Drosophila melanogaster: one gene and its partner. The protein of the gene in region 1 purifies or fractionates together with the protein of each later gene. This does not show direct contact. Each region holds a gene or a part of one and is shown on either strand. Other genes may lie near its edges.

The links.
Region 2: the proteins of Obp19d (region 1) and Antdh purify together in Drosophila melanogaster (affinity purification with mass spectrometry, with the first as the bait; one large-scale study listed by BioGRID). This does not show direct contact.

The regions. Positions count from the first base shown.
Region 1 is NC_004354.4:20,417,469-20,421,634, forward strand, and holds Obp19d (Odorant-binding protein 19d), read left to right. Parts: upstream 1-2,144; 5' UTR 2,145-2,669; coding exon 2,670-2,817; intron 2,818-2,947; coding exon 2,948-3,036; intron 3,037-3,108; coding exon 3,109-3,245; intron 3,246-3,309; coding exon 3,310-3,388; 3' UTR 3,389-3,511; downstream 3,512-4,166. Other genes in the region: Obp19b (Odorant-binding protein 19b), read left to right, coding at 119-203; Obp19c (Odorant-binding protein 19c), read right to left, coding at 704-916, 983-1,297.
Region 2 is NC_004354.4:11,167,392-11,171,194, forward strand, and holds Antdh (antennal dehydrogenase), read right to left. Parts: upstream 1,668-3,803; 5' UTR 1,639-1,667; coding exon 1,063-1,638; intron 984-1,062; coding exon 807-983; 3' UTR 639-806; downstream 1-638. Other genes in the region: CG1394 (uncharacterized protein), read right to left, coding at 2,615-3,118.

The DNA of each region.
Region 1 (4,166 bases):
TTTGGAATACCTTTTATAGGTGGCCAGGCAACTGTGCTCCCAAAAGCTTTAAAAATTGTTTGAAATATTTTTAAAGTATTTCTGAAAAGGATCTTATTTGTTTTTGGTTTTTTTTCAGGTGCGAGGCAGCCCACGGGATCGCTATGTGCATGCTGCGCGAGATGCGCTCTTCGGGCTTCAAGATTCCCGAGATCAAGGAATGAGGCCATGGAGCTGCTCGCTGGCCCACCATTGCATGTTCTCCCTCCCTTTTTTTTTTGTTAGTGATTCAGTTCGATTTAATTACCAAAGCTAGAGAACTTGGAGTGGTTTCCCAAACTAATAAAGCGCCCAACCAACAAGTTACGAATTATGCATATTTATCGGGTGGGAATCACATATGTAGTACGTAATCCCGTAGTTGGAACTGCGAAAGATTGTGTTTTTTATTGTGCAAAAATGGGAAATAAATTACTGTATATATAGATTTATTCAAATCAATTGCGAGTGAGCAACTAAAACTTGATCTAGTACTAGAAAATCGTATAACTAGTATTTAATATATAATTATATTGCCTAATAGATTGTGCATTTTCGGTTAAAATTATCTGAGAAATCATTGTAGCTAAGATTATGGCCAAAATATGCGAGACACCTTCTTTCTACTCGTAGTTAAGATCTCAAGTGGTAGTTGGTGGTGGTGTCCATGGCGCGGAGATGTCCTCTACCAGACCAGCTTTACGTTGTTGCGCTCCAGCTGGCGACTGATGCACTGGTTGAAGAGGTGGGCCACCTCGCAGGGGTTCTTCGAGGAGATGCCGCGGCTGCAGGCCTGCGCCATGCTGGAGCTAACGGCGATGGCCATCTTGTTGTCCTGGGTCACCAGGCTGGTCAGCTTCTCCACCTGGCCAACGTTCAGCTTGTTGTCGGCGTCCATCTGGGTGCGAATGAGAAGTATTAGTGACCTTTTAGTTCTGGTTGTGACAAACGTCCGGCTACTCACCAACTTGATCTTCTTGAGCACGCACTCCACCAGGCACTTCTCCTTCTCACTTGGATTGGTCACCTTCCCCAGCGGTCGCTGGTCCCTGGGCAGCTGCAGCTTCTGGATGCACTCCATCCTGGCCGCGGTGACCAGCTCCTGCACCTGCGGCAAGTTGCGATCGATTACCGCCCAGATGGGCTCCGTTCCGGTCTTGGGCAGCAGCTTGGCGAGATCGAAAGCCTGGGTCTGGCCACGGACGCAGTGCGTCTGCAGCAGGACAGCGACCACTATCGTCATTAGCGGAATGGCTGCGACTGGAGTGGATGGCTTCATCTTGGCAGCTGCTTTCTCTTTGGCTCTGCTCTTGCTTGGCCCCTTGGCTTATAAGCTGACCCATGACCTCACACCATAGTCGTCTGCACATGGCATCGTCGCTTGATTTTGCTGATTGCAAGCATTTCTCCAGTGCCAAGTTCATCACCCAAGTTCGTCACCCGCACAAGTCACGCTCCAAAGACGATATTTGACATCGCCAACGCTATCCAGCGATGTGTCAGTTCACTCGAGACAATGACAATATCGGATTAATGTAGATCTTCAATCTGGAAACCTGATAGGTCTATCAAAGTACCAAGGTTTGTAAGGTATATTCATTTTTGGAATAATACATTTGAAAATATCAATGTTAATTAAAATGAAAGTAAGCCATTTGCTCGCAACCGAATTATTTAGATATATACATATATTATCAATCGGACTTATTTGTTGGATGATTTACCATGTACATATATGTATAATACTCGATCACACAGACTTCCGACCTGTTAAAGATCTTAATGGGGCTAGTAAGCCCCACTCAATCCAATTGGAATAAAAATTAGCATGCAACATGCTCACACGATGCAATCCGATTCCATCTATTGGATTCCACAATAATATAGATTGCGTGCTAAAATCTCCACTCGATGGATGGACAAACAGACTGACTGGATGGAACTCAGATAGCGATCGTTGGCACTCGGAATGATCAGAAAGTCGGCAGGCTGACGGGCAAACTGGGAAATAGGCGGACAGATGAAGGGTATATTATGGCCTAAACGGCCAATTTGGCAGGCGGCAACCGCAGTTCCCAGTTCGCCCAGTTCCATATAATTGTATAATCGCTCGATGGCCCCGCCAGTCACAATCACTCATCTCACCCAGAGCTGTTGATCGATTTAATTACAAGCGGGATTTCTCATCTCTCATTTTGCATTTAGCATTTTGCATTTTCATTTCCATTTCCACTAGCCATAGCCATTCCCAATTCTATATCCCCGGCATTTGCAGCGATTTCATGCCAGTCACCAATTAAGCAGGTAAGTGGAGATCGGTGGGCCATCTCATCTGGCAGCGGCAGTTCCAGCGGGGTGTCACTCGTTCACACGATGCCCAGTCGAGGGCATCTCCGCCGGATTCCGTCCCATCCCGTCCAGAGCGGCGGAGTGAAGTGGAGTGCCATGTGCCATGTGCTGCCCATGTAGTTCATAATTGCGCGTAATTGCCGGAGCTGCTTGAGACGCAGCTGGAGATCGGCGATGGATCCGATCTGCCAAATCAATCACGGGACTCGGCTTAGGCAATAGCTCCTATAAAACGCCGACGTTGCCGGCGATTCGCATCCAAGTCAGAGTTCGCACGTCGCGCAGTTCAATCGCAAATCGAAATGTCGCATCTGGTTCACCTGACCGTCCTGCTCCTAGTGGGCATCCTCTGCCTGGGCGCCACCAGCGCCAAGCCGCACGAGGAGATCAACAGGGACCACGCCGCCGAGCTGGCCAACGAGTGCAAGGCTGAGACGGGAGCCACCGATGGTGAGTCAGATGGTCATCAGTGCAGAAAATTCAGTAGGGAATACAGCTGTCAGCGTACCACTCCTACCTGTGGTGGATGTGTTAGGATAGTTATTGTGCAATTATCAATCATATGATATATCGCTTACAGAGGATGTGGAGCAGCTGATGAGCCACGACCTGCCCGAGAGACACGAGGCCAAGTGCCTGCGCGCCTGCGTGATGAAAAAGCTGCAGATAGTGAGTGCTGCTGCTCCGGCAGGAAGTGTGATCCACTCACCACCACCCATTCCATTCTCCCTCCCATTGCAGATGGATGAATCCGGTAAGCTGAACAAGGAACACGCCATCGAGTTGGTCAAGGTCATGAGCAAGCACGATGCAGAGAAGGAAGACGCTCCCGCCGAGGTGGTGGCCAAGTGCGAGGCCATCGAGACACCCGAGGATCAGTGAGTAGTGCTCGCCGGAAGCTGTTGGCTCAAATCCGGACTATAATCATGCTGCCATTTTCAGTTGCGACGCTGCCTTCGCCTACGAGGAATGCATTTACGAGCAAATGAAGGAGCATGGACTCGAGCTGGAGGAGCACTGAGAACAGATTTGAGACCCATGACGACCCCCCGTTACTGTATCACAAGCGCCCTTCTGGAATATAACCATCTTTTTTTTTTATGTGTATACTATGAATTAAGTACTTGATAAACTGAGAAACTGCAGGCTTGATTGTTTGTTGGATTGTGAAGGGGGATTCGTATGGGTGTGGTTATCCTCCAAGACTCCTCGGGACCCATAATTTACTAATAAAAAATTCTTGCTCAATTTCGACGATTATATTACAATCTTTATTATTATAAATACAAGTACATTTTTTTGTATATCATCTCCCAATCTGGGGCATATTTAAAAGATTCTTACTCACTATTTATTAATGCACGATGTTCTTCGTACCTGGGTTTCTCCAGGTGATATCCTGCGGAGAAGGGACCCAGCCAGGGATGCGCGTTCGCTCTCGGCTCCCCTAAATATGTCCTAGCTTAGCCGACTTAACGCAATCTGTCGGTAAAAATATCTATTTGCTCAACTTGGGCTCCTAGTATAGTATGCTGCCCAAGCCCAGGGAATTCGTGTCGAGAAGACGGCGGCTCCGATTGCGGTCCGTCTACGCAAGGCGAATTCTCAGGGTCTTGGGCTATGGTCATTAAACCTATTAGTTAGTAGCTAGATGAGGTGCACAGGTCATACGCGATCTGCATGGCTGATCTCTACATGTTTTGAAAACAGCCATTAAAAGATCGCGCAAATAGCCTGATTAAACACAGGTAGAGGTAAACAGATGGTAAAAAAAATTTAAATATCTTAGTTGAACCAAA
Region 2 (3,803 bases), 9.3 Mb from region 1:
CTAAATAATCATTGGGCATTTCCTGTTAATATTCGATTTTGCTGTGCCAAGTTTCAGGCAGGCACTTTTCATAGCAGTTTGGTTTTTCTTCGAACAAAATTCGCAGAGCGATTAGTATTTTTTCCCAGTGCACAGGAAGCTGGAAGAAGCGGAACGCTCTAATGACTCGGTTTCCTCCTCGAATGAAGCTATTGCTCGAAGATGCCCAATTGCACATGACACTCTTTGACCACAGAGAATTCCATTTGTGCAGGATGGCTTGCTTGCCTTATTTTCCCATTTATTGCTCGCCTTTTCTGTGTCAAATTTCAATTGTGCTCTTTTTTGGCCAGCTAAAAAAAAAAAAAGAAAAAACAACAAAAATTGTCAATTAAAGCCATTAGGGCCATTGGCAATTAGTTGCCAGCCAGCCCCATTATGCGGAAAGTCATTTGCCATTGCTCGCATTTCCTATATAGTAAATACATACGTATATATGTTTACCATACTTTTTCACTTACGGCTGGATTTTCAATTTTCCGTTTACCCATGGAAATGCATTCCCATTTATTTATCGCATTCATTGCATGTGTTGTTACTGCTCAAGACAGGGAATTTCAATTTCAAATTTAAGTAAATTAAACCGACTTACTAAATTTAAATTTAAATAGTTTTATTGCAACGTGTATAGCTTAACTGTGAATATTAAACTGTCTACGAAAATTGTGTGAATATGGTGCTTCATATTTTCTGTCACGGCAAAAATATTAAGATGAAGAGGAAAAATACAAAAAAAAAAAAGAACAGAGCTCCTGAAGCTCCTCCGCCTACATGGTCTCGCCAAGTGGCTTGATGATCAGCTCGTGCACCTGGACATGTGGCGGTGTGGCGATGGCGTACAGCACTCCCTGTGCGATGTCCTCGGAGTGGAGCATTCGATCCTTGATGGCCTCCCTAATGCTGTCCGGCACGATCTCCGTGTCCACCACGCCCGGACTGACGCTCTACGTTGGCGGAAAAAGCCAAAAAGGGGTTAGAAAAATGTTCAATCCGAAGAAAGTGGAAAATGGAAAGCGAACCAACCGTAATCTTGATGCGGGTGCCCAGGCCGAAGAACTCCTGGCGATATCCTTCGGCCAGCGCTGTAACTGCATGCTTGCTGGGCGGATAGACGTTCACATCGGGCGCCACGCCCTCCGTGGCCGTCATGGTCTTGTGCCCCAGGATGCTATTGATGAGCACCACATGGCCGTCGAACTTGCGCTCCCGCATGGAACGCACCGCTCGCTGGGTGCACAGCACGATGCCCATGATGTTCGTCTGCAATACCTGCTGCATTACGGCCGGATTCATGTCCACCAGATAGCCGGGTTGCAGGGTGCCGGCATTGTTGACCAGCACATCGATGGCGCCCAACTTTTGGATGATCCAATCGAAGGCCTCGTTTACGGAACTCTCGTTGCCCACGTCGCAGTAGAGGGCAAAAAGTTTGCCGCGCTTCTCCGCCGGCAGCTCCCTCTGCAGCTCCTTGACGCGATCGACACGTCGGGCCAGACCCACCACCGTCATTCCGGCTAGGACCAGATCCTTGGCTATGGCCGATCCGATGCCCGAACTGGCGCCAGTGACGACGGCCACGCGATTCTGCCAGCGTTCCATGATTTTCGATTGCGATTTCAACGATGATTACTCGAATCTCGGCCAGAAGATCCACTTTATATATCGCTGCGATGGTTGCGTGCGCTCTCCAAACGAGTTCTAGCCTAGTACACTGAGAGAAAAGTTCGAGCCAAACAATAGAATAAATATATAATGACTTGGTAACATTACGATTATGCTAAATTCATGTAATTTTAGTATAAATCATCGAATCTTTTTTTAAGAATAATTTCCCAATGGGCATACCCATTTTTTTGTAAGTGCATCTCGTTAGCGTGTTGAGAAATTGCCATCTCATCACTGTGACAATCAGCCACGCCCTGTGATACGACAAAAGGGGCGGCAGGCGTTGTATTTGCATAGTTAGAAACGATGAAACTTGTATTGTTTTTTGTACTTTACAATGCGAATCTCAAGAACATATATTTATACGAAGTGCTCAAGATAATCATACGGTGGAAAATTGGGTCTATTAATCTTATAAATGGTTTGCACCTAGTTATTTAAATTTGATTTGTTTAAACTAAATAGAAAAATCGAAATATTTACAATGTAAGCTTGATTTGTGCTTTAATTATTTGTATAAAAAATAAAACTTCAATATTTGACTGCCGAGTGAAAATAACAATAGTAACCTTTGCCATACATCACATTTTGCCTATTTAGTAATTAGCATATAAAATATATGCGATTTGAGTTTACAACGCTCTTCTCACATTCAATTTGCCGCACGTTAACTCATCTCTGTATTTATTAATGCAATTAACCCACCCACCGATTTGTGCCAACTGATTATTTTCATATCTTATGGATTTATGACATTTATTTTATACATTTTCGCCAAGTACGAGTCGTTTGAGCTGCACAAAACGGACGTTTGGTTCGAAAACTAATTGTGTATGTATATGGCCCATATGCGATTCACTTTAGTCGTTCGGTGAAGATGCTCGTGCTGTCATTGTTCGTGGCATCGATCCTACCAGAAGCCACCCTTGGATGCACTGCCTCCGCCGTAGTTCATGCTCATGTCCATGCCGTTGTAGGCGCAGAAGGCTTCGCCATTGTCGATGCACGGTTCATTTCGTCCGGGTATGTCTCCATATATTGAACGGTCCACGGGTGGCGGCACTATATGCTGGGCTCCTGTAATGGGCATGCCACACGACATGGCACCCGGCATGGCACCCGGCATGGCACCCGACATGGCACCCGGCATGACGCCCGGCATGGCACCCGGCATGGCAGCCGGCATGCCACCGGCTCCTCCGGCGTATGGTAGCATGGAGTGTGCCTGAGCTGCGCCCTGGCTAGGCCAACCTCCTAGTCCGCCGGCTGATCCTAATCCTGGTGCTGCTGCTGTTGCTGATAGTGGTGGTGGAGCGGCTGCTCCAGCGGCAGAGTGCTGCATGAAGTCACCCATCTGCGGATAAACGGGAGCATTCAACGGCTGGCCATTCCAGTACGAAAACGAATTCGACATATTGTGAGTTGCGGTTGAGTAAATCCTAAATACAAATAATTTGGGAAAGTGGTGAAAAAGAAACAGTTTTTCTTTCGATTTTTTTTTTTTTGACCAAATAAAAGTTGTACAAAATTTTGCTCCGCTGAACGGTGTTTACTGTTTGGGATCTAAAATATAACTGATAATCTGGAGCTCCGGCTGGGGTACCTCGATTTTTCGGCTTGACATTTAATTTCATGGATATGTTGATTGGAAATTTTTGGAAATTTTTTTTCGACCGATTGCAGTTGGCCATGAAAATACATACGATATTAAATTGATTGTTTTACCTTGGCACATATTTTAGGTTTAGCTCTTCCATAAAATGCCTAAGAGTAAATATATTTTCTAAATATTTTGAATAGCAAATTATAAGTTACCATAGTATATATGTACATCATCGTAAAATATTTGATTTATTAACCTGACATAAGATTGTTCATAAAGGTTTTTGTGCTTCTAATTCAGGTCATTCCGTGTTATTTAGCATACAATTTTATATTGTGATAAATGACATTTCTTTTTATTTTCATTTCATCTTTTTGCTCTTGAGTCTTGATTCCTATTTCTATGATTTTTTTTTTTTGGTTTAGCCTTGTCGGAAAATGGGGGCGGTGGGCGACCGAGGGGCGTGGCATGGCCAGCGTTGTGTTTAATTTTTGAA